Linked DNA regions of Saccharomyces cerevisiae S288C. The gene in region 1 interacts genetically with each later gene. Each region holds a gene or a part of one and is shown in the gene's direction. Other genes may lie near its edges.

Evidence for each region.
Region 2: mutations in PGM1 (region 1) and TUS1 together harm fitness more than expected from each alone (negative genetic interaction), as found in Saccharomyces cerevisiae (2 studies listed by BioGRID).
Region 3: mutations in PGM1 (region 1) and EDE1 together harm fitness more than expected from each alone (negative genetic interaction), as found in Saccharomyces cerevisiae (2 studies listed by BioGRID).
Region 4: mutations in PGM1 (region 1) and PPZ1 together harm fitness more than expected from each alone (negative genetic interaction), as found in Saccharomyces cerevisiae (2 studies listed by BioGRID).

What each region holds. Positions count from the first base shown.
Region 1 is NC_001143.9:201,544-205,753, forward strand, and holds PGM1 (phosphoglucomutase PGM1), read left to right. Parts: upstream 1-1,997; coding exon 1,998-3,710; downstream 3,711-4,210. Other genes in the region: PMU1 (putative phosphomutase), read right to left, coding at 1-228; serine/threonine protein kinase YPK1, read left to right, coding at 4,164-4,210. UniProt on the Saccharomyces cerevisiae protein: Minor phosphoglucomutase isozyme that catalyzes the reversible interconversion of alpha-D-glucose 1-phosphate and alpha-D-glucose 6-phosphate. The mechanism proceeds via the intermediate compound alpha-D-glucose 1,6-bisphosphate.
Region 2 is NC_001144.5:979,153-988,543, forward strand, and holds TUS1 (Rho family guanine nucleotide exchange factor TUS1), read left to right. Parts: upstream 1-3,741; coding exon 3,742-7,665; downstream 7,666-9,391. Other genes in the region: TDA5 (Tda5p), read left to right, coding at 7,910-7,989, 8,061-8,961; RING-type E3 ubiquitin transferase MAG2, read left to right, coding at 9,276-9,391. UniProt on the Saccharomyces cerevisiae protein: Guanine nucleotide-exchange factor (GEF) for RHO1 that stimulates the exchange of RHO1 GDP-bound form into GTP-bound form. Required for signaling of cell wall defects to RHO1.
Region 3 is NC_001134.8:127,359-137,240, reverse strand, and holds EDE1 (Ede1p), read left to right. Parts: upstream 1-5,200; coding exon 5,201-9,346; downstream 9,347-9,882. Other genes in the region: ECM13 (Ecm13p), read right to left, coding at 1-553; YBL044W (uncharacterized protein), read right to left, coding at 875-1,243; ubiquinol--cytochrome-c reductase subunit COR1, read left to right, coding at 1,725-3,098; PSY4 (Psy4p), read right to left, coding at 3,492-4,817; RRT1 (Rrt1p), read right to left, coding at 9,631-9,882. UniProt on the Saccharomyces cerevisiae protein: Functions at the internalization step of the clathrin-mediated endocytosis (CME) as an early-acting scaffold protein. Requires clathrin adapter proteins, ENT1/2 and YAP1801/2, for normal spatiotemporal dynamics and viability.
Region 4 is NC_001145.3:236,688-244,279, reverse strand, and holds PPZ1 (salt homeostasis regulator), read left to right. Parts: upstream 1-2,743; coding exon 2,744-4,822; downstream 4,823-7,592. Other genes in the region: UBX2 (Ubx2p), read right to left, coding at 1-131; TRM9 (tRNA (carboxymethyluridine(34)-5-O)-methyltransferase), read right to left, coding at 216-1,055; TATA-binding protein-associated factor TAF11, read left to right, coding at 1,251-2,291; PSP2 (Psp2p), read right to left, coding at 5,549-7,326. UniProt on the Saccharomyces cerevisiae protein: Essential for the maintenance of cell size and integrity in response to osmotic stress.

The sequences.
Region 1 (4,210 bases):
CTCCATACCGTACCTCAGTATGGCAGCATTGTGGTAACCTTGACCATGCCTAGCTAAAATCAACAGCTTATAGTGGCGATTTTTGGTATTTCTAGGGATAGCATGATACAGTTCCTTCCAATTCTTATGGTTAATCAATTCTAAGTGATCATATTTCGTGGAGTCTAATCCTTGAAAACCCTCACTTGGATATGCAGCAAAATATCCTGGGACTGCTCTGAGTGACATTGTTGAATAACTGTTGGTGATTTCACGCAGCAGAGTCTTGGAAAGAAATCGTTAAATAACATACAAATCTCTCGAGGGTTTTTTTTTGCAAATGACACTTTTTACTTTTTCCAGTACTAGCTAGCACCCGAAAAATTAACTTGACTCGCACATGCCTGCTGGGTCATATCCGAATCTGCAAGAAATTAGGATTACAAATATTTATTCAAACGTTGCACAACCACGCAATAGAAGATAATATCTGTAAATTTTAATCGCTTTCATCTGAAAACACTGAGCCTCTTCTTAATTTTCACGGACTTTTTCGCAGCCCAGGTTTGACCGGCTAAGTACGAACCTCTTTTGTTTGGAATAAGAGTTTGGTATTAATCAATTGTTGGTACAAAAGATTAATAGTATTACTTGTGTTTTCAGAATATAATTGTCCGTGAGCGTCCTAACTGTCATCGAGTTTATAGGAAGCTAATTAGTAAGGACTGACCATGCAAACCCAGCAATGAATGAAAGGATATAAACGAGGGAAGAAATGGTAGCAGTATTAAGTAAAATTGTCCATTTCCCCTCGTGAAATTATCCAAAACGCGGCAGAAGAACTTTTAAGTTATCTACTGTACATAGTGTTATTGTCCTCACGTGAATTGAATTGAAACTTTTTCAGAACATTATCGCTGAACTATAAATGAAATTTTGTAATGATTGTTCTGATCCCATCTTACTAAAAGCATTATTGTGAAGTATAAAATACAATAAATTTCTTCTCAAAAAAACTTGCCGTACATGATATGGAGAAATAGGTGAATTTAGGGATAGTAGTTATTATAATGAGCCTATTATAGAGAATCTATTATCGATTTCTAACGGTCGTATCAATCTGTTGTATTACGGGCTCGAGTAATACCGGAGTGTCTTGACAATCCTAATATAAACAGTCTTAGGGAAGTAACCAGTTGTCAAAACAGTTTATCAGATTAATTCACGGAATGTTACTTATCTTATATATTATATAAAATATGAATCATACTAAGTGGTGGAAGCGCGGAATCTCGGATCTAAACTAATTGTTCAGGCATTTATACTTTGGGTAGTTCAGCTAGGGAAGGTCGGGTTTTGTCTCATGTTGTTCGTTTTGTTATAAGGTTGTTTCATATGTGTTTTATGAACGTTCAGGGTGACGTATTGTCATACTGACATATCTCATTTTGAGATACAACACAATCACGTTTAAAAGCCTTGTTGGCGCAATCGGTAGCGCGTATGACTCTTAATCATAAGGTTAGGGGTTCGAGCCCCCTACAGGGCTTTCTTTTTAAAACAGGATGCTAAAGCCGACACCGTTCAAACACAAGTGGCAGCTTTTCTCGAGAACAGCAATGCCCACAGTTTTATTTACAATTTTACACTATTGACGTGGAGATTTTTTTATCCCGCATATGACCTAGTAGAGGATCTCTGTCTTCCCCTGATAAATGTCAAATGTATGACGTTACCACAATTGTATCACGGTGGTTTCAGTCTGTCATGAGGAATAAGGGCATTCAGTACCGACAATGCTATACTTGTAAATAGAAAAATGATGTTCTAAAATCGGCATTCTCGCTATTTGAGATTTTGTCTTTTTTTACCTGGTATTTCGCGTTTATATTACGGATGCAAGAAAAGGAGAAGGGCGCATCACATCGATTTTGGTCTACCTATAAACATTCTCTCTCTCATCCACTTTCGGTTCAATAGTGCAAAAATAGGTAACTAACAACTCAATTGAATAGTAAATGTCACTTCTAATAGATTCTGTACCAACAGTTGCTTATAAGGACCAAAAACCGGGTACTTCAGGTTTACGTAAGAAGACCAAGGTTTTCATGGATGAGCCTCATTATACTGAGAACTTCATTCAAGCAACAATGCAATCTATCCCTAATGGCTCAGAGGGAACCACTTTAGTTGTTGGAGGAGATGGTCGTTTCTACAACGATGTTATCATGAACAAGATTGCCGCAGTAGGTGCTGCAAACGGTGTCAGAAAGTTAGTCATTGGTCAAGGCGGTTTACTTTCAACACCAGCTGCTTCTCATATAATTAGAACATACGAGGAAAAGTGTACCGGTGGTGGTATCATATTAACTGCCTCACACAACCCAGGCGGTCCAGAGAATGATTTAGGTATCAAGTATAATTTACCTAATGGTGGGCCAGCTCCAGAGAGTGTCACTAACGCTATCTGGGAAGCGTCTAAAAAATTAACTCACTATAAAATTATAAAGAACTTCCCCAAGTTGAATTTGAACAAGCTTGGTAAAAACCAAAAATATGGCCCATTGTTAGTGGACATAATTGATCCTGCCAAAGCATACGTTCAATTTCTGAAGGAAATTTTTGATTTTGACTTAATTAAAAGCTTCTTAGCGAAACAGCGCAAAGACAAAGGGTGGAAGTTGTTGTTTGACTCCTTAAATGGTATTACAGGACCATATGGTAAGGCTATATTTGTTGATGAATTTGGTTTACCGGCAGAGGAAGTTCTTCAAAATTGGCACCCTTTACCTGATTTCGGCGGTTTACATCCCGATCCGAATCTAACCTATGCACGAACTCTTGTTGACAGGGTTGACCGCGAAAAAATTGCCTTTGGAGCAGCCTCCGATGGTGATGGTGATAGGAATATGATTTACGGTTATGGCCCTGCTTTCGTTTCGCCAGGTGATTCTGTTGCCATTATTGCCGAATATGCACCCGAAATTCCATACTTCGCCAAACAAGGTATTTATGGCTTGGCACGTTCATTTCCTACATCCTCAGCCATTGATCGTGTTGCAGCAAAAAAGGGATTAAGATGTTACGAAGTTCCAACCGGCTGGAAATTCTTCTGTGCCTTATTTGATGCTAAAAAGCTATCAATCTGTGGTGAAGAATCCTTCGGTACAGGTTCCAATCATATCAGAGAAAAGGACGGTCTATGGGCCATTATTGCTTGGTTAAATATCTTGGCTATCTACCATAGGCGTAACCCTGAAAAGGAAGCTTCGATCAAAACTATTCAGGACGAATTTTGGAACGAGTATGGCCGTACTTTCTTCACAAGATACGATTACGAACATATCGAATGCGAGCAGGCCGAAAAAGTTGTAGCTCTTTTGAGTGAATTTGTATCAAGGCCAAACGTTTGTGGCTCCCACTTCCCAGCTGATGAGTCTTTAACCGTTATCGATTGTGGTGATTTTTCGTATAGAGATCTAGATGGCTCCATCTCTGAAAATCAAGGCCTTTTCGTAAAGTTTTCGAATGGGACTAAATTTGTTTTGAGGTTATCCGGCACAGGCAGTTCTGGTGCAACAATAAGATTATACGTAGAAAAGTATACTGATAAAAAGGAGAACTATGGCCAAACAGCTGACGTCTTCTTGAAACCCGTCATCAACTCCATTGTAAAATTCTTAAGATTTAAAGAAATTTTAGGAACAGACGAACCAACAGTCCGCACATAGAATTATTGGTCTTGAACAAGCACTAATTTTCCAAAGATGTTTTAACTGATCTTAATTTATATGTAGAGGATATATGTAGTATATCTATTTTTTGCTGATTGACTTATCAATTAGCTTCATAATACAACATTGTTTTTGTTTTTCGTTACTCGCGACTTTCTTCGCGGCAGAGCCGCGCTACAGGAAAACAAGATCAAAACATGCCCCTATTGGAAGGCTTAAAAAATGCTTATCCCGAACGAGCCAACGGTAATCAACACTATCGTCATACCAACAACAGTTGAGTTATTTTTCGCTCCCATACTTTTTAGAATTGGTTTGTTTGTGTTTGGTTAAATTTCAAAGCCTTTATATTCTTTGATATAGATTACTCTACAATTTCTTTGTATACAGCGGGAAATTGACACTTCAAAGTTCCTCTCATATCAACAAACATTAATACAGTTCCTGAAAATGTATTCTTGGAAGTCAAAGTTTAAGTTTGGAAAATCTAAAGAAGA
Region 2 (9,391 bases), on another chromosome or scaffold:
AGTAATACCTCTGTTCGTAAAGAACTTATGAAGAGTTTTGTTAGTGTACTCGGAGCCACGATCCATCTGGATAACTAGAACGCGAGCATTGAATTGGTTCTTAATAAATGCTAATATCGATGTAAAAACATTGAGGATAGATTCTTCACGACGGTCGTGTAATGGGTACACCCATTGGAATCTGGTTTTCTCATCTGTAAACGATATAAAGTAAGAAGGTGCACTTTTCGGTAAGTGATGTACAGGACCAAATATATCGGTATGCAAGTACTGAAAAGGCTCATATGATTCTTGGTACTTTAGTCGTGATCCTTTGACATGCCTATGTTTCGTGCTTTTGCCGATTAGACAGTCAGGACATTGATATGTGCTAGCGTTAGACCATTCAATATCCGATTCTTTCAAATATGTAACTGCATTCTTCTTAAGAGACTTCTGAATACTTCGGAAGTTAGCATGTCCAAGCATTCGATGTATTAACGGATATGGATATTTATTTACGCTTTTGCTTTTGTTGACGTTGTTTATTGTTAGCTTTGAAATGTGCGAAGGAATTAGGTATTTTTTAGATAACCAGTAAAAGTCTCCATGTTTGACTATGGGAGCTAGTACTGTACCATCCGATCTTTCTAAAGTGTTTCTGGTAAAGCAGGCAGTAATATTTTGGTTAGCCAGCTCACTCAAACTTAATAGATCATAGGCTATGTTTGGTGTGTGTAGTGCTTTTATTGATGTTTTGGTGCCGTTCTGAAAGTTGAAGTGAAGATTACCAATGGCATTTATAGGAATGTCTTGTTTTTGAGCATCGACTATGTTTATTTCAGAATTGGGTGTTGCATGGTGTAAATAATGGGCTGATCTGACAAGCGTTTGCGAAGCTCCTGAATCAATAAGAAGGTGATCAGGTAGTTCGTCATTCGAGTCTATTGTGCGTGTTGGCTTAGATTCTTTCTGTTGCTGGCCTAAGACTAAGTTCGTTGTCATCGCTTAAGTATTGTGATGAAACGGTTGATTCATTAATGTGATCATTGTTCACCCTTGAGAATTTACTGGATGTAGCAATATTGTGAGCTTTTGCTGCTCTTGGTTTTGAACTATTTGTTCTATGATAATTACGAGTTGTAACCTTCGTGTTAGTCGTGTTTGGAGATGTGCGAGAAACATTTTTGTATTCGCTGTGTTGTTTGTATTGGGACGGTTTATTTAGATTCATGATTTTATTTTCGTCATATATTAATTGAATTTCAGCGAATAATTGGGAAAGTTTCATGTTCGTTTTGGTACGATATTGATTACGTAGGTATTTGAAATCACCGGATAGACCTTTAAGTATTAGTTGACAGGCCAATCTGTCGCTAACATTGATATTGTTTTCTTTTAGCCTTTGAATGATCGTGCTGACTGTAATTTCAAATGTATCAGCAGATGTACTTCCGTTGTACTCAAGGTTGGCAAGAGCTATCCAATCTTTTAATTCTTGATTGTTAGTTTGCATTTTGGACACACTTTTACAAAGGACAGTAAGGATGTCAGAATAATTAATTTCTAAAATTTGTTTTACCCATGTTGGCAATAAATGAAATGGGGCAAATGCTTGGAAGGTATTGTATATATACGCATGTTCTTCATAAGTCATTTGTCTTTTGATTTCACCCTGGTCATTTGGAATAATGTCACCGAGATTAGAGTTCTTCAAAAATCTGATGTAAAATTTAACCCATGTAGAAAAGTTTTCTTCTGATGTTAAAGTGTGTGGTGGTAAGACATTATTTCTCACCTTTGTCTTAGCTTGAGGTACTTCAGAGTGTTGATCCTGTGAATCGATTGGATCAGGTGAGGAAGTACTCAGCGGTGGGATATACTGTGGCAGCGGATAGTGTGGGTCCGGTTGATAATACGCAGGTGACGTTTGATAATGTGAACACGTCATCATAGATGGTTGTTGGTAATGTGCCCAGTTAGAAGCCATAGCTTTGTTTGGGGTCATCATGCCGTGCTGTTGGTACTGTCCATTCTGTGGAGGTGGTACTGAAGCAGGTTGAGGAGAGACATGATGATGGTTCTCTGGAACAGCTGATGTCCCAGGTGTTGTCTCTTCTTGAGAATTAACCTTAGTGGAATCTCTATCAAATTCCGGTAAATTGGAAGCTGAAACGGCTAACGGATCTTGATTTGATGGGACTTCCTTAGAAGTAACCGAAGCATAGGCGCTACCATGTAGAGAATGTGGATTTTGATGTAATTGTTGGGATTCCATTGTGATTAAGGCTATAATATTAGGTATGTAGATATACTAGAAGTTCTCCTCAAGGATTTAGGAATCCATAAAAGGGAATCTGCAATTCTACACAATTCTATAAATATTATTATCATCGTTTTATATGTTAATATTCATTGATCCTATTACATTATCAATCCTTGCGTTTCAGCTTCCACTAATTTAGATGACTATTTCTCATCATTTGCGTCATCTTCTAACACCGTATATGATAATATACTAGTAACGTAAATACTAGTTAGTAGATGATAGTTGATTTTTATTCCAACAGGTTCACACGAAGATTGAAAGTGTGGCCACGCTAATTTAGTTTATTAGGGAAATGCTCCTGGTCAGTTCTAATTCACCCAACGTAGCGCGGAATATTTTAAAGTTAATATAGTATTTCGATATGACAAGCACCTCTAAACAAAAGGTTATTTTCGCTTTTGTTCATTGAGCGTGTACTTCAAGCCTGATCCTGCTTTTTCTTCTGATTTGATCTGATTCGATTAAGCAAGCGGTACTACCCTAAAACCGCCATCTGTTGTAATATAGTAACGTCGCAATAAACCTGTCATATAATTAGCAGCTAATCCTTATATTCCATCTCCTCAATTTGTGATATTTATCGTATATAATTCCCATTTCAGACCGTCATTTAGTAGTAGGCATCTAACTATGGAACGGCTTTACCCGATCTTGGTATGTATGCCATAATGTACTACCGCTATCGATTTACCTTAACCCTAACGAGTGTCTCTAGCCAGTATTTTAAACTTCCATATCACAACTAATGTTGAAGATTGTATAATAAAAACATCAAGCTATTTAATAGATGCGATTAATCTCCTAATCGAAAACAGTTTGTTCGGTGTCCAAATACTGTTTTAGTGGACTATGATAAACGTTATAACAGCTATTTTGACTAAAACAACCGTAAATTTACACAGATAGGTGTTCACAGTAATTTTTTGGGGAGTTAGGTCGAAATCTTTTCCAAAACCAGTCATGCAAAGGAAATGCGTCAACTTTTGGGGACTTTTCCCCTACTCAAACACAGTTAGTCAACATTTAAAGGTTGTGTCTTTACTTAAGAGAAAATTAACTGAGCTTCGGTCATACATACGTAATTTCGCTGCTTCCAGTCGAGCAGTTGGTGCGCTATAATCATTTGATGTTTTTAGCTTACGGCTTCTTAAGATTTTCTATTGTTCATACTGACTCGTCGCATAGGCCGCAATATAAATCATTTAGAGAAAACGTTAACACATCGTTTAGGTAAACAACCCCTAGAGAGGATGATCAGTACGCAATATAACTGTTCAAAATCCATTTCTTGCATCAATATTTTATTCAACTATTATTTCTGGAGGTTTTAGTGGTTCTGTATACCCCCTCCAGCCACTGTTATGAACAATTAATTGATACTACTTCGAATATAAACATTAAAACAAAAAACTTATTGAGTGCAGCAAGTTAACATGTATCGATATAATAGAAGTTCCCCTTTTGAACGAACACCAGAAAAACGAGTAAGCCGTCAAGAAAGCCAACGAAAGAGCATCGAATTGCCCAAACTGCCACCATTGAATACGAGGAACTCCTTTTTGGATGATTCTGATAACGGAACAGATAATATCTCAATTGGCTGGACACCAATCAGTGACACCCAGCAATTCCAAAGCCCGGTCCCTCAGGCTTTTACCTTTACATCAAAACATAGTGCAAGGGGAAACGGTACTAGCTCTTCAGAATCCACACCCAAATCGACAAAGTACGTCAAAGAAAGACGACCACCACCACCGCCACCCCTTTTGTATTCCACTGAATCAATACGGATAGACTCACCCATGGTATCTCCCAGTTCTCAGTCCCGGGAAAGATCACCTAATAAACTATCCTTTATAGGAAACTCAGAGGAACGACATCACATGGAATACATATCTAACCATTCCAGGATCTTAAAATCACCATTTGCGAACGGATTTAGTCCAAATTCCCCTAAATCTCCAAGAGATAGTAGCAAACAGCAGGCTCACTTCTCTGATGAATCAGATCTACGGTGTCATGAAAGAGAAAAAGCTTTACCCCCAATTCCTTTCACTACTACTCTTCTGCTATCTCCTTTTGATGATGAAGACTCAGAATTTTTTACGAAACCACCACCGCCTCTATCAACATCTAGAAACGTAAGTGGGAATAGCCGAGTATCAGAAGCCCTAGAAAGTGTTTATTCTGACTCAGATTATACTTTTAATAACTCAAATGCCAGGCAAAGTAGTTTTAACTCTTTACTAGGAGCCAAGCCATTAGAATTAGCACCAAGCATTACTGCACCGACACAACCATTTTCAATTCAATCTATCGATGAGCACAAGCTTTATCAATGTGATAATGTTTACAAACTTTCTGCTATTTATGAGTGGATTTTGAAAGTTTATTTTGAATGGTTTAATGAATGTGTCTTCACGAAAATCGATCTTTTCCAAATTGTTCAATTACTTTTAGAGTTTCAAATGCCTACAAATTTCGATCAAGATACGATAGACTCAAATGTGGATAATATTATGGCTTCGTTTATTTCCCAGAAAGCAGTAAGATTCGATATCATTAACGATGAAGAGGTAGCCGTAGTTGTGGGAGGGCTGGATATTACTGGTGTTTTCACCGAACTACTACCGTGCTATTCATTCATCGATAATACTTATGGATCTACAAACTCCCTGATTTGTTATTCCAACGTTTGCACACATGGCCAAAGCTCTGGCTTCAGAAAAGAAATAAAACTTTCCGAAATCATAAATAAATCAGTTGGACTTTGGACAGAATACTGGCACTTGACTCCAGATGATTTAGCAGAAATTAATCCCCGTGAAGTACAAAGACAAAGCTTTATATTTGACTTAATTATTTTAGAAGAAAGATCCTTAAACATGGCTACTGCCGCGGTAGAAATCTATGGGAAACGGTTTGACAAATCCCTACTTCCAGATGAGCCTGAGTTCAAGGCATTGGCATTTGATATCTTCGAACCTCTAATACAATTACATACCGAATTTCTTTTGACGCCAATATTTTGGAAATTAAAAACGAGAGGTAAGTTTATTGATGGCGTTGGAAAAATCTATTCAAAATGGTGTGGTGAAGCCAAGAATATATATTTGAATTACGCGAAAGCTATGGCAACGGTACACGAAATCATAATGTGGGAGAAGAAAAACAAGACGAAATTTGTAACATGGCTTAAGGAGATTGATAACTCGGTTGAAATTACAAGATCGAAGATGTATCATGATGTTATATTCTTTGGGGGGTTTTTCAAATCTTTACAAAACATGCCCGTAACTCTGCGCTCAATTTTGAAGAACACGGATCCTTCCATGGAGGATTATGAATACCTGAAAATAGTAATTAAGGAAGTAGAAAAGTTGAACTTTGAAGTTAATCAGGTACATGGATTAGCAATTGACCATAGGAAACTAGTAAGGTTTTCGAAACAATTAGTATTAAGTACTAATAGTAGTAATGCAACAAGCTATGTGAACGTCGGTGGTAGTACTAACGCAAATGACGATGATGCAATTCAGGATAAACTAGCTCTTGGTTTAACTTATCCGGAAAGGAAGTTAGTACTATCTGGCACTGTTTATAAAAAGAGGGATTTATGGCTGGACCCAACCCCAGTGTATATCGCATTATTGGACAATTGCTTACTGATTACAGAGGAAATAAGTAAAGGAGAAACTCAAAAATATAAGCTTATTGAAAGACCTATCCCAATAGATTATTTAAGTCTCGAGAAAAGGAAAATTCCAGGAACAAGTAAACAGCCTCTGAGAAACTACTCTCAGAAAGAACATAAATCCCCAATGCATAATTTTTCGACACCGATTAACTCCATGAGACCTCTGCTTAAAAGTTCTGGAAATCACATGTCAACAGCGTATGGAGATAGAAAGACTAGTAATACTGAAATTTCTAACGCGAATCCAAACACAGACGAGTTCTCATTTAAGATCAGAAATACAGCCACAGGTGAATCGTTCAAATTTTTTACAGAAAGTGCAGAAGTACTCAACCAATGGATTGATGCTATCATGGAATCTTTTAAAAGAAATGCAGAAAATCATGATTTAAATGCCTTTGAATTTACAGTGTTGAGCTCTGAGTTCGCATACTTCGACAAGGATGCACCGGTGAATCTACCTGTAGCTCCGGAAGGATCAGAAATTGATGTAGCACTCAAAGCTTACGCTCAAAAAGCAAACAAAGATTCATGTTCATGGAGTAAGACAACACGGATTCTTTGTTGTGAAGATGTTAAATTCGAGGGCAGAATTTACCTATTTGTGGCTACAACAGACGGTATCTATGTGAAATATAGAGACGATTATGGTAGTGGTTTCGTTAAAATATTAGAATTAAACGACGTCAAAAGAATGGAAGCCAATGTTAAGTTGGGGCTCTTGTTTGTATTGGATAACAGAAAGTTGTGCTATTTTAATATCTCAACGGTAGTGAGCCGTTACCTAGCGCAAGGAAACACTCTAGATGAAAACTGCATTGTGGGAACAGTAATCAGAGATAAGGTGAGATTCTTCAAAATTGCTGATGATTTTGGTAACTCAAAACATTTATTTTTTGAAAGAAAGGGGAAGATAGTTATATTAACACCAGAATTTGATCAATTGACAAACCAAGTAAAATATTTCAAATTTTACAAAGAGTATAAGCTCCCAAGTTCAAGTAATAACATTCTGAATAACGAAATTGAGGATATTGCCATATTCAGGAAAAGTTTTGCTGTGTGTACAAAGAAAACAGTCATACTTTATCAAGATTCATTCGAGGATAACGGAATAGTCTTACCATCTTTTTTGAATGATAAAGATATGATGGCACACTTGAGGCATCCACATTTGAATAGCTTACCGTTCAAAAGTGCTACAGACTCCAAGAAACGCCCCTCCATAGAATCTCTCACTGAAGAAGCAAAAAAGGATATCGCCACTTGCAAAGCTATACCGGTCAATTTTTTTCAAATATCACAATCTAGTTTTTTTGCCTTGGTTTATGATGAAGCCGTAGTGAAAATAAACTGCTACGGTGAGATGTCTGATTGGAGAAAGGATATTCTCTTACTTGATTTTTGTTGTACCGGCGCGAGCTTCCATGGTAATCATTTGATTCTCGTTGGCGACAATTTGATACAGATTTACGACTTAAAAAATGTTGAGCAGAACCTAGGCGAATTGGTTCCCGTCCAGATCATAAAAGGAAAGAAGATAAAGCTGGCTAGTTCAGAAAGGAGAGAGAAAACAATTCTTGTGTTAAGTCATCCAAATATACTTAATAGACAATTATTAGTCGCGTGCAATCCTGTAGCAATGGCAGATCATCAATAATATAAGATATAGACACTTTTAATGGTAAATATCGTTGTAATAATATAAGCCAACAAGAATATAGTCCAGTAATTATGCTATTTGCAGTAACTCACATCATTATTCTCTCTGTTCATATAATCCTGAATAACAGGTTACCCTCGGAAGTGCATTTAGCCGTATAACAAGTAGCTCTTTAAAATCAGTAGAACAGATACATTAATATGTGATAATACGGCTGTGAGGAAAAGGTGAAGTTCTGGTGATGAATATAGACTGTTTGTGTCGTTGGGTAGTTCTGCCACTGCTGCGCTATCCACTTCTGGTAGCTCTTGTATTGAGATGGTATGTAAAGTAGAAAATAGGCATGAGGTTAGAAACAGCGTTTTTTATACTAACATGACGAACTAACCTAGGTCTCTAAGCGACTCGATAAGCATTTGTCTAACAATCTATACACTACTGATAAATGCATTCCTCATTGCTAATTCCTATATAAAGCGGTCGGGACAGGTCGCCTGGAAGAGCCTTCGTGAATTTAAGAATGGCATAGTTCTTATTACTGGAGGAAGTAAAGGACTTGGACGGGCCATAGTATCTCAACTCCTACAAGACTACAGCAACCTGACCATCTTGAATGTCGACATATGCCCATCATCAGTGAGGAATACTCGCGTGAAGGATCTCATCTGCGACCTGAGTGATGATGAAGAAGTTGCAGCACTACTGAATTTGTTGAAAAGAAAGTATAAAAATGAAATCCGATTGATTGTGAACAATGCTGGAGTAAGGGCCAACTTCACCGGATTCAACGGCATGGAACGGGATAATCTTGATAAGATTTTTAAGATAAACACATTTGCACCACTTCAGTTCATTCAAGAACTGGCCCCTAGTAGACACTCAACTAGACAGTGTTATATTGTCAATATCGCAAGCATTTTGGGCATATTGACGCCGGCCAAAGTAGCAGCTTATGCGGCGAGCAAAGCAGCATTGATAGCCTTTCATCAGTCGTACAGTTTTGAATTGCAAAACGAAGGCGTAAGAAATATCAGAACACTATTAGTGACCCCAGGGCAACTGAATACGGAAATGTTTGCAGGATTCAAGCCTCCTCGCCAGTTCTTTGCCCCTGTAATAGACATTACTACTCTAGCTGCCAAGATAGTCCGTTATTGTGAGCTGGGTCAGAGGGGACAGCTAAATGAACCCTTTTATTGTAGTTTTGCTCATCTTTTGATGTGCGTACCTTATTCGCTACAACGCATTGTAAGAAGCTTCTCTCGCATAGATTGCTGCCTCCCGGACGAGTAGAAAGCTATACATAGTAAATAGAATATTTATAGATGAATCCGAGTAGACAGCCTTGGTGTTTGCTTATACATTCTTTGCAATTATGCACGCCCTCATTACCGTTGCTCATATTTTTGGGCATTAATTGTATTTTGAAAAGTGCTCGTTCAGGCCCGTGTAAAAAAAGGTGATGAAGCAAACATTATAATAAACACTTCTGAGAAGCCACGTGTAGAGGGGTAAGCTATATCGTAAACACCGTTGGATGTGGACCACGGTGCACTGATAAAATAAAGATATAGTAGTAGAATCTGTTACTAATCTTAACACTTTTGATGGTAGAACCGGACATGCAGAAGAAGGCAAGTGGTGGCAGTGGCGGTTCCGAGATGGATACTTTAAATGCTACCAGCAACAGTAGTAAACAAGGAGTTTCAAATAATAAAAGGAA
Region 3 (9,882 bases), on another chromosome or scaffold:
GCGTTGATTCGGCAAGTTCATCCGTCTGCTCGGAATGAGAGTTTGTGTGAGTCAAATATTGATAATTAGGTGCGGTGTGAAAACTAAAGTACATGTCAATTTTCTTGTTATAATCACCGCCAGAGTAATCGTACTCAAAATCATAGTCTTCATAATCATCATCGTCTTCACTGTCAGTAGAAGATAGAGTGTCAGCATCTGGATCTTCGTCACTAGAGTAAAAATCACAGTAATCTTCACTTTCTATCGTCTTTTCTGCATTTTCCTCCTTACCGACGTCATTTTTACTAGCATTAGCATTGGACAATTCGATATGTTCGATGGACAAGTTTTCAGGTCCTTTACTGAAAGGGTCTCCGGCAAGGGCGTTGGTTGCAGCATTATGAGTTTCCACATTTTCTGTAATCTTATCCAGCAAGTTTGCGTGCCCGACTAAAACTCTCAGGTTGTAGTCTTTGTTTTTAGTAGTCACGCTAACGCATTTTGCCAGCTTGGAGCGTACTTTGCTGGCCAAAATATATTGATCTTGAATCGATGGGGTTGTAGAGTTCATTATAATCGCAGTATGCGGAATTTTCTATGTGAGAAAAACAATAAATAATTGTGAAAAAACTTGGATGTATAGTGTAATACTATAAAAAATTTCTGCTGGTATGTAGCTGTCTTTTTATTTTTTCTTTGGTCATACAGGGCTGTAAGCAGAGAAAGTCGAACAAAGACGTAACACCAGAGAAAGAAACTTGAATGCTTTTGTTAGATATATATATATATATTTATACATATGCCTCTCGCTAGAGGATATATCGCCGCGGAGCGCAGCGAACTACATCCGAAAACATCACAAATAATGCATGGGCAACCGGATACATTGCATTTAGTTTTGCCTTTTTTTCCAATTGTCACAGCTTCCTCGAAGTTTCTGACCCGGTAAAACGTGCGAAATGCCTCTTCTAATGCCGAAACAAGGGAAACCCTTAAAGCTTCCGTGCAAGCTGACCATGCCGGTCCGCACTTCGGGTCTTGTCCGTCGCCCGTGATCCAATAGGATACAACTACAAATCTGGGGTAAAGTCCGACTTTCGGCCCGCCGTGCGTTACTGCATGTTACATCACTATGGTGGGGACGGAAAATCACAGATGAGTCAGCTTCGTGATTTCCTGTTTCGGTGATGCTTGCAGTATACTTCAAATACTTCGCTTTACTTGGCAACCTTTTTTTTTGCCTCTCTAGCATTTCACCCATACCCACCAGGGGGAAAAAGAAAAGAGAGATTTTAAAACCAGATATTCTTTTTCACGATTTACATAACCCGGACTGGGTAGGGTAACATGTATATGAACTTTAACTGTGACCCGGACAGCACGCTTTCTGCACCAATGAAATGCCAATAAATTAACAGTGTTTTTTGTCCTCCAGAAGTTCAAGGGCCCGCGCTGTCAGCTGCACCAAATAAAAACCAAACAAGAAAATTAAAGGCCTACAGCGCTCCCTAACCGATATTCCCCTACTCTCTTTCCCCGTCTTATTCGAGGAAAACAGCGTATAATAAAGCAATAGCTTTCACAGAAAAAATATTATATCATCCCTGTTCGTATAGGTAACGAATCCTAATATTAAATTGCTACCATTGCTGATCAAGACAATTGTGGAGTAATAATACGAGAAGAACATCATCGTCACCATATCACTGAGAAAGAAAACACAAGATATATAAACAAAAAAAATGCTAAGAACAGTAACTTCAAAGACTGTATCTAACCAGTTCAAGAGGTCTTTGGCTACAGCTGTAGCAACCCCCAAGGCCGAAGTAACGCAATTATCTAACGGTATAGTTGTAGCCACTGAGCATAATCCTTCCGCTCACACAGCCTCTGTCGGTGTTGTCTTCGGCTCCGGTGCTGCCAACGAAAACCCTTATAACAACGGGGTTTCCAATTTATGGAAGAACATCTTTCTATCCAAAGAAAACTCTGCTGTTGCCGCCAAGGAAGGTTTGGCATTGTCTTCCAATATCTCCAGAGACTTCCAATCTTACATTGTATCTTCTTTGCCAGGTTCTACCGATAAATCACTAGACTTCTTGAATCAGTCTTTCATCCAACAAAAGGCTAATTTGCTATCTTCTTCTAACTTCGAGGCCACGAAGAAATCTGTCTTGAAGCAAGTTCAAGATTTTGAAGAAAACGACCATCCCAACAGAGTTTTGGAACATTTACACTCCACCGCCTTCCAAAACACTCCATTATCTTTGCCTACTAGAGGTACTTTGGAGTCCTTGGAGAATTTAGTTGTTGCTGATCTGGAATCTTTTGCCAATAACCATTTCTTGAATTCAAATGCTGTTGTTGTTGGTACCGGTAATATCAAACATGAGGATTTAGTAAATTCCATCGAATCCAAAAACCTAAGTTTGCAAACCGGTACCAAGCCCGTACTCAAGAAAAAGGCCGCTTTCTTGGGTTCCGAAGTTAGATTGAGAGACGACACCTTGCCAAAGGCGTGGATTTCGCTGGCTGTGGAAGGTGAACCTGTCAATTCACCAAATTATTTTGTTGCTAAATTAGCCGCCCAAATTTTCGGCTCATACAACGCCTTCGAACCCGCTTCTAGATTACAAGGTATCAAATTGTTAGACAACATACAGGAGTACCAATTATGCGACAATTTCAATCATTTCTCTCTTTCTTACAAAGATTCCGGTTTATGGGGGTTCTCTACGGCCACGAGAAACGTTACCATGATTGACGACCTCATCCATTTCACTTTGAAACAATGGAACAGATTGACCATTTCTGTCACTGATACTGAAGTTGAACGTGCCAAATCGCTGTTGAAATTACAATTAGGGCAGTTATACGAATCTGGTAATCCCGTCAATGACGCTAACTTGTTAGGCGCAGAAGTCCTAATCAAGGGCTCCAAACTGTCTCTGGGTGAGGCTTTCAAGAAAATTGATGCAATCACAGTCAAAGATGTTAAGGCTTGGGCCGGTAAGAGATTATGGGACCAAGATATTGCTATTGCTGGTACAGGCCAAATTGAAGGGTTATTAGATTACATGAGAATCAGAAGTGACATGTCCATGATGAGATGGTAAGATGTGTGATAATATATTTTCCATGCACATAAAATAGAAATAAGCAAGCTGCTAGATGTATACAGGCACGCTCGCACACTCACACCATAAATGAATTTTTTACATGTATTTTATATTCTAGTAACCCAAGTAGTCTTCATTATTTATTGGCAAGGTCACTGTTCCTTGCAAAAGTAGAAAATAAAAAAAGAAAAAAAAAGAAACTCGTAAGAAAACAAGATTAAATAAACGTCTTATTTTATATAAGTGTATATATATATATATATATATATGTGACCAAGATCCTGAAGAACTATCGATTTTAAAAATAAGAAAGATGAACTTTTTTTTGGTAAAACATATTTAATGATATTATGCAAATGGGAAGTTGTTGGTAGAGAAGTCATCTCTCGATCATCTGGACTTCTTGCCTAATGGACTGCTAATATTCTCACGGTAGGTAATACCAGCAATCGCAACCATCTTATCCTCTTGTGAAGAGCTCATCGATGGACTCACTAATTCGTCACCTGGTAACAGTCCTTCACTTCTACCCTCATGGTTTTCATGAGCATCCTCTTTCTCCTCCTCCTGGCTCGATGAGATCTCATTACTGCCGTCCATGGCATTGAGGAGCGAAGACGATGGCGACTCTATTATGGAGAACCTGCCCGTTGCGGTATGTTTATATTTCTTTGGCGTCGTGAGATCCATGTTTGTGAATGATGGTGATTCGTCATATTCAAAGTTATCTAAATCTGTGGGCTTCCTCTTCCTTGGAGTTTCATTTTTCTTGTCAAAATTTTGCACCTTGGTACTTTCGCCCGCCTGCCTATCTTCGTCATCATCTTCATCGTCATCTGTGCTGCCCATGTGATCATCATCCTCATCATCTTCATCTGCACCATCTTCACGATAATCGTCGTCGTTGTCATCGTCATCTTCATCATCGCTATTATTCTTCGTAACATCGCTCTGACAATTTTGTCCTTTATTATCGCTATTATCATCGTTTATCCCGCAATCATCCTCATAGTATTCTTCCACCATGAAATTTTCATCTTTCAGCAAAACATTACGCTTACTCTTATTCCCCATCTCCCTATCTTCATCACCATCAAAAAATCCTTCCTCTTCATCCTCGTCATCGTAGCCTAGGTTGACACTCATTATAGAGTCGATTTCTCTAATAAAGGGTGCCAACTCCCTAGTATTGTTTTCGGTCATCCACGGTATCTTCATTAGTGAGACATCTTCTTGATTCTTGATGAAGTTAATATCTTTCTCCTTATCGTCCTCTTGCTTCTCACCGTGTGTTTTATCAAAAACCTGCCAACTGCTAGTTACCATGCAACATTTTTCTAGCGCATTTACAAACTTCTCCAATTCATTGATCTTGTAATATTTGAAAGGATCATAACACAATTCGCATATCCGAAGTATTGTGAATGGAAATGTATGATTTTGTAAAAAATTATCATTCAGAAACTTACCCAGCCAATTTAATCTAGTAACGAGATTTCTCGCATCGTTCATTTCATTCTTAAGGTTTATAAATAGGTCAAACGGTATTGTTTCAGTGATATGCCGGATTAAATCAGGCAAAACTTGCTCGGGACCCGCCGTCACCAATCGCGTCTTGTCGCCCTGTTTCACCACATCGCTAAGTAATTCATAAAGGCTGATAGACTTGATACCCATCATATTATTATCCACATCATCCAACATCGTCGAGCTCATAGCTTTTTATTGTGCTTTGACAATCGATGAGAACACCAACAAAAAATGATAATAGGTATTGTTAGCTGTGTCAAAATACATGCTTTTGATCGCGAAATGAAAAACTACACAATCATTACCCGTCGGCGCTTCGGAGGGGGATTAGATTTCTCCTATAATCAAAATCTTCAACTATTACAAACCCCTTTTCAGAAGCACATTGAAAACAACACACAACAGAGCACTTTGTGATAGGCAATAGAGTGCTTTTAAATAGAGAATTACTGGTTCTCGCGAAATAATATAGCGCGTTGAAACTAATAAATAGATTCGTGAAGCTCTAGATCTATCTTTTTTCCTGTTTTTATCTGTGTGTTTTCAATAGGATTCGAACGATATAGGCCATGGCATCTATTACTTTTAGAACTCCATTATCCTCTCAGGAACAAGCCTTTTATAATCAGAAATTTCACCAATTGGATACGGAAGATCTCGGGGTGGTCACTGGCGAGGCAGTCAGACCGCTCTTCGCGTCTTCTGGTCTTCCAGGGCAATTACTATCGCAAGTGTGGGCTACCGTCGATATAGACAATAAAGGGTTTTTGAACTTGAACGAGTTTTCGGCTGCTTTGAGAATGATCGCTCAATTGCAAAATGCTCCCAACCAACCAATTTCCGCTGCCCTATATGAGAGCACACCTACTCAACTGGCTTCTTTTTCTATAAATCAGAACCCAGCCCCTATGCAAAGCGGTAGTGCAACCGGCAATACAAACAACACTGATATTCCTGCCTTATCCTCAAATGATATTGCTAAATTTTCACAACTGTTTGATAGGACAGCAAAGGGTGCTCAAACTGTTGCTGGTGATAAAGCCAAGGATATATTTTTAAAGGCAAGATTACCAAATCAAACTTTAGGTGAAATTTGGGCTCTTTGTGATAGAGACGCATCCGGTGTCTTAGACAAATCTGAGTTTATAATGGCCATGTATTTGATCCAACTATGTATGTCTCATCATCCTAGTATGAACACACCACCGGCCGTGTTGCCTACTCAGCTGTGGGATTCTATTCGTTTAGAACCTGTTGTTGTTAATCAACCAAACAGGACTACTCCTTTGAGTGCTAACTCCACTGGCGTATCTTCACTAACAAGACACTCTACTATATCACGTCTATCTACTGGTGCATTCAGTAATGCTGCTTCAGATTGGTCTTTAAGTTTTGAAAAAAAACAACAGTTTGATGCAATTTTTGATTCATTAGATAAGCAACATGCTGGTTCGCTAAGCTCTGCTGTGTTGGTTCCATTCTTCTTATCCTCTAGATTAAACCAAGAGACGTTAGCCACCATCTGGGACTTAGCTGACATCCACAACAATGCTGAATTCACCAAATTGGAATTTGCTATTGCCATGTTCTTAATTCAAAAAAAGAATGCTGGTGTCGAATTACCGGATGTTATCCCCAATGAATTATTACAGTCCCCCGCTTTAGGACTTTATCCGCCAAACCCACTTCCTCAACAACAAAGTGCACCTCAAATTGCCATCCCCTCAAGAGCAAGTAAGCCTTCTTTACAGGATATGCCACACCAAGTTTCTGCCCCAGCAGTTAATACTCAACCAACAGTTCCACAAGTTCTTCCTCAAAACTCAAATAACGGTTCTTTGAATGATTTACTGGCTTTGAACCCTTCATTCAGCTCTCCTTCTCCCACTAAAGCACAAACTGTGGTTCAAAACAACACAAATAATAGTTTTTCATATGATAATAACAATGGCCAAGCAACATTACAACAACAACAGCCACAGCAGCCTCCACCTTTAACTCACTCCTCCTCTGGATTGAAGAAATTTACTCCCACCTCAAACTTCGGTCAAAGTATAATCAAGGAAGAACCAGAGGAACAAGAGCAACTAAGGGAATCCAGTGATACTTTTAGCGCTCAGCCTCCGCCAGTTCCAAAACATGCTTCAAGTCCAGTCAAACGTACAGCTTCAACAACACTGCCACAAGTTCCCAACTTTTCTGTGTTTAGCATGCCAGCAGGCGCTGCCACTAGCGCTGCCACTGGTGCTGCTGTAGGCGCCGCAGTGGGTGCTGCTGCTTTAGGCGCATCCGCTTTTTCAAGATCTTCCAATAATGCATTCAAGAACCAGGATTTATTTGCAGATGGTGAAGCTTCTGCTCAGTTATCTAATGCTACCACAGAAATGGCTAATTTATCTAACCAAGTAAACTCCCTGTCCAAGCAGGCAAGTATAACTAATGACAAAAAGTCAAGAGCGACCCAGGAGTTGAAACGTGTTACTGAGATGAAAAATTCCATTCAAATCAAATTGAACAATTTACGTTCTACCCATGACCAAAATGTTAAACAAACGGAACAACTGGAAGCACAAGTACTTCAAGTAAACAAAGAAAACGAAACATTAGCGCAACAGTTGGCTGTATCCGAAGCAAACTACCATGCCGCTGAGTCCAAACTCAATGAACTAACTACTGATTTGCAAGAATCTCAAACAAAGAACGCAGAATTAAAAGAACAAATTACGAATTTGAACTCGATGACAGCCTCCTTACAGTCACAATTAAATGAAAAACAACAACAGGTCAAGCAAGAAAGGTCAATGGTAGATGTTAATTCAAAACAGCTAGAGTTGAATCAAGTCACAGTAGCAAACTTGCAGAAGGAAATCGATGGTCTTGGCGAAAAGATAAGCGTTTACTTAACTAAACAAAAGGAGTTAAATGACTACCAAAAGACCGTGGAGGAGCAACACGCACAATTACAAGCTAAATACCAGGATCTGTCCAACAAGGATACTGATTTAACGGACCGTGAAAAACAATTGGAAGAACGTAACAGACAAATTGAAGAACAAGAAAATCTCTACCATCAGCACGTTTCTAAATTGCAAGAAATGTTCGACGATCTATCACAGAGAAAAGCTTCTTTTGAAAAAGCTGATCAAGAGTTAAAGGAGAGAAACATCGAATACGCTAACAATGTGAGAGAGTTATCCGAAAGACAAATGAATTTAGCTATGGGACAATTACCTGAGGATGCTAAGGACATTATTGCGAAAAGCGCCTCTAATACAGATACAACAACCAAAGAAGCCACATCAAGAGGAAATGTTCACGAAGACACTGTATCCAAATTTGTCGAAACTACTGTTGAGAATTCAAACTTGAATGTTAATCGGGTTAAAGACGATGAAGAAAAGACAGAAAGAACCGAAAGTGACGTATTTGATAGAGACGTTCCAACTTTGGGATCTCAAAGCGATAGTGAAAATGCCAATACAAACAACGGCACCCAGTCAGGAAATGAGACAGCAAATCCAAACTTAACTGAAACATTAAGTGATAGGTTTGATGGTGATTTGAATGAATATGGTATTCCAAGAAGTCAATCCTTGACATCGTCTGTTGCAAACAATGCTCCTCAATCCGTAAGAGATGATGTTGAGCTACCGGAAACGTTGGAAGAACGTGACACCATCAATAATACTGCGAATAGAGATAATACTGGAAACTTATCTCACATTCCTGGTGAATGGGAAGCTACCCCAGCTACCGCTTCTACTGATGTTTTGAGCAACGAAACTACAGAAGTTATTGAAGACGGAAGTACCACAAAAAGGGCTAATTCAAATGAAGACGGTGAGTCGGTCAGTTCTATCCAAGAATCTCCAAAAATCTCTGCTCAACCAAAAGCAAAGACAATAAATGAAGAGTTTCCACCAATTCAGGAATTGCATATTGACGAAAGCGATTCATCCTCTTCAGACGATGATGAGTTTGAAGATACCAGAGAAATTCCATCAGCAACAGTGAAGACCCTTCAAACTCCCTATAATGCCCAGCCCACATCAAGTTTGGAAATCCACACGGAACAAGTCATAAAATATCCCGCTCCAGGCACTTCTCCTTCACATAATGAAGGTAACTCAAAAAAGGCAAGCACCAATTCCATTTTGCCTGTTAAGGACGAATTTGATGATGAATTCGCAGGGTTAGAACAAGCGGCTGTGGAGGAAGATAATGGTGCTGATTCGGAATCTGAATTTGAGAATGTTGCGAATGCTGGGTCGATGGAGCAATTTGAAACCATAGACCATAAGGATCTCGATGACGAACTACAAATGAACGCTTTTACAGGGACGTTAACTAGTTCCTCTAACCCAACTATCCCAAAACCACAAGTACAACAACAGTCAACCAGTGACCCTGCTCAAGTAAGCAACGATGAGTGGGACGAGATTTTTGCTGGATTTGGTAACTCCAAAGCTGAACCAACCAAAGTAGCTACCCCAAGCATTCCACAACAACCAATTCCATTGAAGAATGATCCTATCGTTGATGCTAGCTTGTCAAAAGGTCCAATAGTTAACCGCGGGGTTGCAACTACTCCAAAGTCTCTAGCCGTCGAGGAGTTAAGTGGCATGGGATTTACTGAAGAAGAAGCGCACAATGCCTTGGAAAAGTGCAACTGGGATCTAGAAGCCGCCACTAACTTTTTGTTGGATAGTGCTTAGTCTGTAATGGACCATTTCGTCTTCTTTTTGTACTTCTTCCTCGAAGCTGAATCATATTTACCCTTTTCCAGGATCGTCCTTGTATATTGTGAATTATTCTAAAAGTAGAATATGTTGTACTTTAAAATTGTTATAGTTATCATCATCTATTTTTCCATTTTATAAAATTTTTACGTTAGACAGTTATGTATTGAAACTGCTTCATAAGTTTTGAAAATCATCCCAGTTTGGTAAATACACTAACCAAAAAAAAAAAAAGCTCTACCACATAATCTTTGGGCGTATTACAACATGGGAAACACGACATTATTGAAAATACAAAAAAAGTAAAGTAAGACTCGTTCAGGGCATAAGTCAATGGCCCTGTAAGAAAAAACAAAGTAGCTAGGCTCATAAGAGATTATCTGTTTAATTTTCTTTGAATAAAAAAAAGTATAAATCGATAAGATAAAATACCACAATGAAAAAATAAAGGCTACTTGAAAACAACTGGACCAAACCAAAACCCAATTAACCCAGACCAGTAATGAAACACG
Region 4 (7,592 bases), on another chromosome or scaffold:
TTCCTCAACAGTCTCACCACATCTGGCAAGTCTTCTGGGGGGAAATTCGTGATGACCTGGAACTCATTTAACTTGTCCTCTTCTGTGTGCGAAAGGTGAAATTCACTATCCTCATGATTGACTACTGGCATCTTCGATTACACTATGAAAGCTATTACATACTTCTATCGTAATACCTGCTGCTACAAAATACACTGTCTACCTATATATCACCTTCATCTCTTCTGGGCCACCACCCACCAATTGTCGCGCTCGAAGCCCTCACTATGAACGGCAGCCCCAGCTTGGCGGCAATCCTCAGCCAATTCGCCCTCTCGGTATAAGTGATAGTATCGGTATTTTACCTCTTCTCTTTCCTGTTCTTGATCTTGTTGTTGCTTCTCGTCGTTATCATCAAGAGACTTACTGCGTTGCTGTTCCTCCTTCCAGCGCTGCAAGTATTCGGAACGCTCCTTTGGGGGAATATTCATTAAGTTTGGCTTTGGCCTTGTCTTGACTTTAGCAGGCGGCGTTGATTTAGTTTTTGGTTTGGATTTACTCTTGGGAAGAACCCAGGGGACAAAGACATCTTGCTCCATACCTTCATGGTAACCTCTACGGGAGCTGCCCTGTTCTAGAGCCCAACAATATATTAATGCTTGTCCGCCCTGACGTAGCTTCGATAGAACGTGCCTGATCACCTCAACACGTCTCTCCCTTGTAGACCAGTGATGCACTACAGCAATTGAGATGGCGAAGTCAAATGTTTCGTTTTTGTGTGGTAAGTTCAGCCCGTCTGCCACCAGTAAGTTGTACGATGGGTTTATTCCTCTGGCGCACTCAATAAGACCATCTGAGCGATCTGAACCGATAATATATATATCAGGGTTCACTCCGAGGTACTTTCCATTGCCACACCCGACGTCGATACCGATGGAACCCATTGGGCGAGTCTTCAAGAACTGAGTCACTATGGGCCATGGCTTATATCTAGTTTGCGAGAAATGCGGAGCTATCTCATTATACACTTTGTGAACATACTCCTGTTCTTTTTCAGCCGCTTGGTTTATCTCCATGTTGGTTCTTAACCTTTTATTTCTTGGCTCTTCGAGACCTCATCTCTGTTCAGTTCATTACCGAATTTTTTCTCTTATTCCCATTTCTTCGACTGAAAAGTTGAAAGAAATTGAAAAATCAAGAAGAGGTATATAGAGATAATTATCCATATAAATGAAGAGCACAAAGTAAGTTTGAGCTTCAACAGCGCAACGATGACCGAACCTCAAGGTCCTTTGGACACCATCCCGAAAGTGAACTATCCGCCAATACTGACAATAGCAAACTATTTTTCCACAAAACAAATGATTGACCAAGTCATCAGTGAGGACCAGGACTACGTTACGTGGAAATTGCAAAACCTGCGAACGGGTGGTACATCAATCAACAACCAATTAAATAAATATCCAAAATACAAATACCAGAAAACCAGGATAAATCAGCAAGACCCGGACTCTATCAACAAAGTCCCAGAAAACCTGATCTTTCCACAAGACATTTTACAACAGCAAACACAAAATAGCAATTACGAAGACACCAATACCAACGAAGATGAAAATGAAAAACTTGCGCAGGACGAACAATTCAAGCTCTTGGTAACCAACTTGGATAAAGATCAAACTAATCGGTTTGAAGTTTTCCATAGAACATCCCTAAACAAAACCCAGGTCAAAAAACTGGCTAGCACAGTAGCTAATCAAACTATAAGTGAAAATATTCGTGTTTTTCTGCAAGCGGTGGGAAAAATATACGCTGGTGAGATAATCGAATTGGCCATGATTGTGAAGAATAAGTGGTTGACAAGTCAAATGTGCATAGAGTTTGATAAGAGGACCAAAATAGGCTATAAATTGAAAAAATATCTAAAAAAATTGACTTTCTCCATCATAGAAAACCAGCAATACAAGCAAGATTATCAATCCGATAGCGTTCCCGAAGACGAACCTGATTTCTACTTCGACGATGAAGAAGTAGACAAGCGCGAAACTACGCTGGGCAACTCGTTGCTACAGTCCAAATCCTTACAGCAATCAGACCATAATTCACAGGACTTGAAGCTACAACTCATCGAGCAGTACAATAAGCTCGTCCTCCAATTCAACAAACTAGATGTAAGCATCGAGAAATATAACAACAGTCCCTTATTGCCCGAACACATCCGTGAGGCGTGGAGACTCTACCGTCTGCAGTCGGACACTTTGCCTAACGCTTACTGGAGAACTCAAGGAGAAGGGCAGGGATCCATGTTCAGATAGCTGCCCATAATTGTCCAACGGCTCCAACATATATCAATCTATATATAAACATATATATAATTTTTAACATGTCGTTTGAAATGACATGTCTATTTTTAAAAGGATAGCATATAAATTAATGAAAAAAAAAAAAAGAAAACGATTACTGCAGATCTTCTAATTCTGTTAATCAGCTTTCTCTTGTGAACCATTGGCAGGTGGGTAACATAAAAGCACAATACAATAGCTTCCATTATTAGTTTTGTTTGTTTTGGCAATACATGTTAAATCTTTTTCTTTCAAGTTAAATATAAAGATTATATATAAAAGTACTTCTTTGGAATACATTTGATTATACTTTTCTTTATCGTTTTATTTTTATTTCATCGTTATAGTCGCTTCTTTTCCCCTAGAGGCTTTGTCATAAAACAACAAATCAACCACTCTCTGCTTATCTTTCCTTCCTTTTCAAAATGGGTAATTCAAGTTCAAAATCTTCGAAAAAGGATTCACATTCGAATTCCTCCTCGAGAAATCCTCGTCCTCAAGTGTCGAGAACCGAGACTTCCCATTCTGTGAAGTCTGCAAAATCAAATAAATCTTCAAGATCAAGGCGATCTCTTCCTTCTTCGTCCACTACGAATACTAATTCAAACGTCCCTGATCCCTCCACTCCATCAAAGCCCAATCTTGAGGTTAATCACCAACGACATAGCTCTCACACGAATCGTTACCATTTCCCATCTAGCTCACACTCGCATTCAAATTCTCAAAACGAATTGTTAACTACTCCTTCATCATCCTCTACTAAGAGGCCTTCTACTTCTAGAAGATCAAGTTATAATACTAAGGCTGCTGCTGATTTACCACCTTCAATGATCCAAATGGAACCCAAGTCACCCATTTTAAAAACAAACAATAGTAGCACACACGTATCCAAGCATAAATCTTCATACTCATCTACCTATTATGAGAACGCCTTAACCGATGATGACAATGATGATAAAGACAACGACATCTCGCACACTAAAAGGTTTTCTAGATCTTCGAATTCTCGTCCGTCCAGTATAAGAAGCGGATCAGTGTCAAGAAGGAAATCAGATGTGACCCATGAAGAGCCTAACAATGGATCATACTCCTCTAACAATCAGGAGAATTATCTCGTTCAGGCATTAACCCGGTCAAATTCTCATGCATCTTCGCTACACAGTAGGAAATCTTCGTTTGGATCAGATGGTAATACCGCATACAGCACCCCATTAAACTCTCCAGGCTTGTCCAAGCTAACAGATCACTCTGGTGAATACTTTACCTCTAATTCAACCTCCTCATTGAATCACCATTCAAGTCGCGATATTTACCCGAGCAAACACATCAGCAATGATGATGACATTGAAAATTCATCTCAATTGAGTAATATCCATGCATCAATGGAAAATGTTAATGATAAAAATAATAATATAACAGATAGCAAAAAAGATCCGAATGAGGAATTTAATGATATAATGCAATCTTCCGGAAACAAAAACGCTCCAAAAAAATTCAAAAAGCCTATCGATATTGATGAAACTATCCAAAAATTACTGGATGCGGGCTACGCTGCTAAGAGAACAAAAAATGTTTGTTTGAAGAACAATGAAATTTTACAGATTTGCATCAAGGCTCGTGAAATCTTTCTTTCTCAACCTTCCTTATTAGAATTATCACCTCCTGTAAAAATTGTAGGCGACGTTCATGGCCAATATGGGGATCTCTTAAGGCTTTTTACCAAATGTGGGTTCCCACCATCCTCGAACTATTTATTCCTAGGTGATTATGTGGACCGTGGTAAACAGTCACTGGAGACTATTTTACTATTGTTTTGTTACAAAATAAAATACCCTGAAAATTTCTTTTTATTGAGAGGCAACCATGAATGTGCTAACGTCACAAGGGTTTATGGATTTTATGATGAATGTAAACGTCGTTGTAACATCAAGATCTGGAAGACATTCATCGATACTTTTAATACATTACCATTAGCTGCTATCGTAGCCGGAAAGATTTTTTGTGTTCATGGTGGATTGTCGCCAGTTTTAAATTCTATGGATGAAATCAGACATGTAGTTAGGCCTACTGATGTACCAGATTTTGGCTTAATTAATGATCTTTTGTGGTCCGATCCCACAGATTCACCCAACGAATGGGAGGATAACGAACGTGGTGTAAGTTACTGTTATAATAAGGTGGCAATTAACAAATTCTTGAACAAGTTTGGGTTTGATTTGGTTTGTAGAGCTCACATGGTTGTGGAAGACGGTTATGAATTTTTCAATGATAGAAGTCTCGTTACGGTGTTTTCCGCGCCAAATTATTGTGGTGAATTTGATAATTGGGGGGCTGTAATGAGCGTCAGCGAAGGTTTATTGTGCTCTTTTGAATTGTTAGATCCACTAGATAGTGCAGCTTTGAAGCAAGTTATGAAGAAAGGTAGACAGGAAAGAAAACTGGCTAATCAACAACAGCAAATGATGGAAACAAGCATCACAAATGATAACGAATCTCAACAGTAAATTTACTGACTAAAAAATCCAGAAGTATTATATTCATTATTTCATGAACAACTCAACGATGTACATATGCACATATATATATATATATATATATATATATATATGAAAGACAGGAAATAGAAGTTCCCTATCTTTTTCTTAATGACATTAAAAAACTTCCTTTCATCGCCTACTGCCTTCGCGTGTGTATTGAATGCTCATTCGCTCTATACAATCTAGAACTCTCCGAAATTTCGTTCTACTTTGCTTTCGCTATATTAAGCTGTTTATATAAATTACGTAATGGTATATAGTCATATAGCTAAATTCAATGGTTCGTTTCTATAGATTGGTTCTCCTTAATTTTAATTTTTTATTGCGTATAACGTGAGAGATTATTTTCAACCCCCCCAATACTTACGAAACTTCATAAAACTTCTTTAAGAAATAAGGGCCTATAAAAATTGTGAACTAATCAAGAGAAAATATATAATCAAAATTGATTAATCAGAAAGACGAATTTTTTTTAAAAAAAAAATTCAAAACAACTGAAGGGGAAATGGACAAAAAGCAGCATAAGTAGTAAAAAGTGGAAACAAAATAAGGTCAAAAAAATCTGAGAGGAAAAGGAACGCTATATTACATTACTCAGAACTGCGTAACCGACTAGAACAAAAAAAGGAAATAGAGGAAAAAAAAAAAAAAAAAAAAAAAAGAGAAAAGAAAATTAATGGGTCAGTACATGACTCATAAAGGCATGTCTGTTGTTCTGTTATTGTAGTTGGAGTAGTTACCGCTGCTTCCACGTCCACCACGACTACCTCGATTGTTATATGCGCCTCTGCCAAATCCCCTTCCTCTGCCAAATCCTCTTCCTCTCGAACCTCCATTCATACCGCTGCTGTTATAGTTACCGCGTCCATTGTTCCTTATAGAATCATTATTACCTTGGCCAAGGAACCCACTTGCTGGTTTGAAAATGGAATATTGTTGTGTATTGGATGTTGAGTTCGTGAAATCATTCTTTTTATTTCCTGAGGCATCTAAAGATGAATCCGAGGTTAACCCTTCTTCATTGTTTTGTCGATCATGATATCTTGAACCGTTATTATTATTACTACTACTATTATTATTATTATTATTATTATCATTAGTGTTGTTGTTGTTGTTGTTGTATGAGCTGCCACCACGATATCCGCCGCGATTACCACGATTGTTATGCCCACCTTTATAACTGCTGCCATTGGGGCCTCCACGATATCTATTACTCCCTCTAAAATTGCCATTATTGTTATTATGGTTTCCGTTATATTTGGTTCTGCTCATACTATGTTCCCTTTCCACATTCTTGAAAGTGAACTGTTTATCAACATCGGTTTCTGAACCTTTATCTTTATCATTTGAGACATCTAATTGAGCTTTATCGTCGCCACCTTTCTCAAAGCCTTGTTCATCGCCACCTTTGAACTCGTCCGATTTATCGGGCTTAGATTGTAGTTCAAGAGCTGGTGAGTCAAGCTTGCTTAATGGAGTTCCTTTCTTGGAAGTTTCATTGACCACAGATCTCTCAACTACTTCAGAGTAACTTAAAGGTTTGGGAGTTGGGGTTGCAGAATGTGATTCCTCCTCTGTAGGTGTCTGCTTTTTCAAGATTGTGATCTTGCTGCCTGTTGCAGTGGTTGCCATAGAATCACTACTAGGGATTAATGATGCCCTCAGGGTTGTTGTATCTTCCACGTGTAAATTTTCCATTTTTTCTTCAATGTCCAAAATCTTCGATTGCGTATCAACCGGTTTAGCACTTCCAAAAGGATTGGATTTTGACCGCTGAGTCTTAGTAATGAATGGTTTGCCAGCATCGTCTTTAGGGTCTGTTAATAATTTCACCTTCGTGCTGTAATCCTTAAAATCTTCGAATTCTGCGGGCGCTGTTGTAATGTGGTAAATTTCCTTCAAAGGAGTGGTCCAATAGTTCAAAATTTTGTCCATATCACGGGATGTATATAACTCGACAAATGCTACCTTCGAGTCACGTTTGAAATTTTGATCAAAGATTGACCCCGATTTCAAAGTAGAAATACTTGGATTTTTATTTATCTCCCAAAACAGTTTGAACTTAATAAACTTGGTAAACTTTGCTTGAAAAAGATCTTCAATGTCAAAGTTGGAAAATCTCGGTGGTAAATCAGAAAACTTCACAATATAAGGAGGACCTTGCTGATGCTGCAGCGGGTGGTGATGATTTGCAAAGTCCCCCATGCTACCACCACCAAAAGGCCCTGCATTAGAAAAACGTGATCTGTTCATGGGTCCATGACCACCGTGTGGGTGCTGTTGGTGACCATCACGTTGATGTTCGCCTGCCTTGGTTTGTTTCAAGATGTCAATATTCGTAGTATTGCTTATAGCATCCAAATTAATATCTTCCTCATCCCATACTGACTCGCCTAAAGTGTCGTTCCCTAGAAATTCTTCTAGGGACATTTTCTTCGTAGTGCCATTATTATTAGATGTATTATTTGTTCCTGAATAGAAACATATGTAGACAATTCCGTGACTTTCTCTTCTTTGCGGAAAACCAAGCTGATTAGAGAAAGCAAAAACATTGCAAGACCATGTCTAATCAGCTTGATTTTTAGAGAAACGATAAAAAAGAAGAAAAGAGGCCAAGAGAGAGCATTGTTCAATTGTTAGTGGCTATTTAAACTTGATCTATTTTCTTAAAAATCCACATGAATATTATATCCTCTTTCATGCAATAATTCCTACGTATGACTGAAACAGAAGAAAA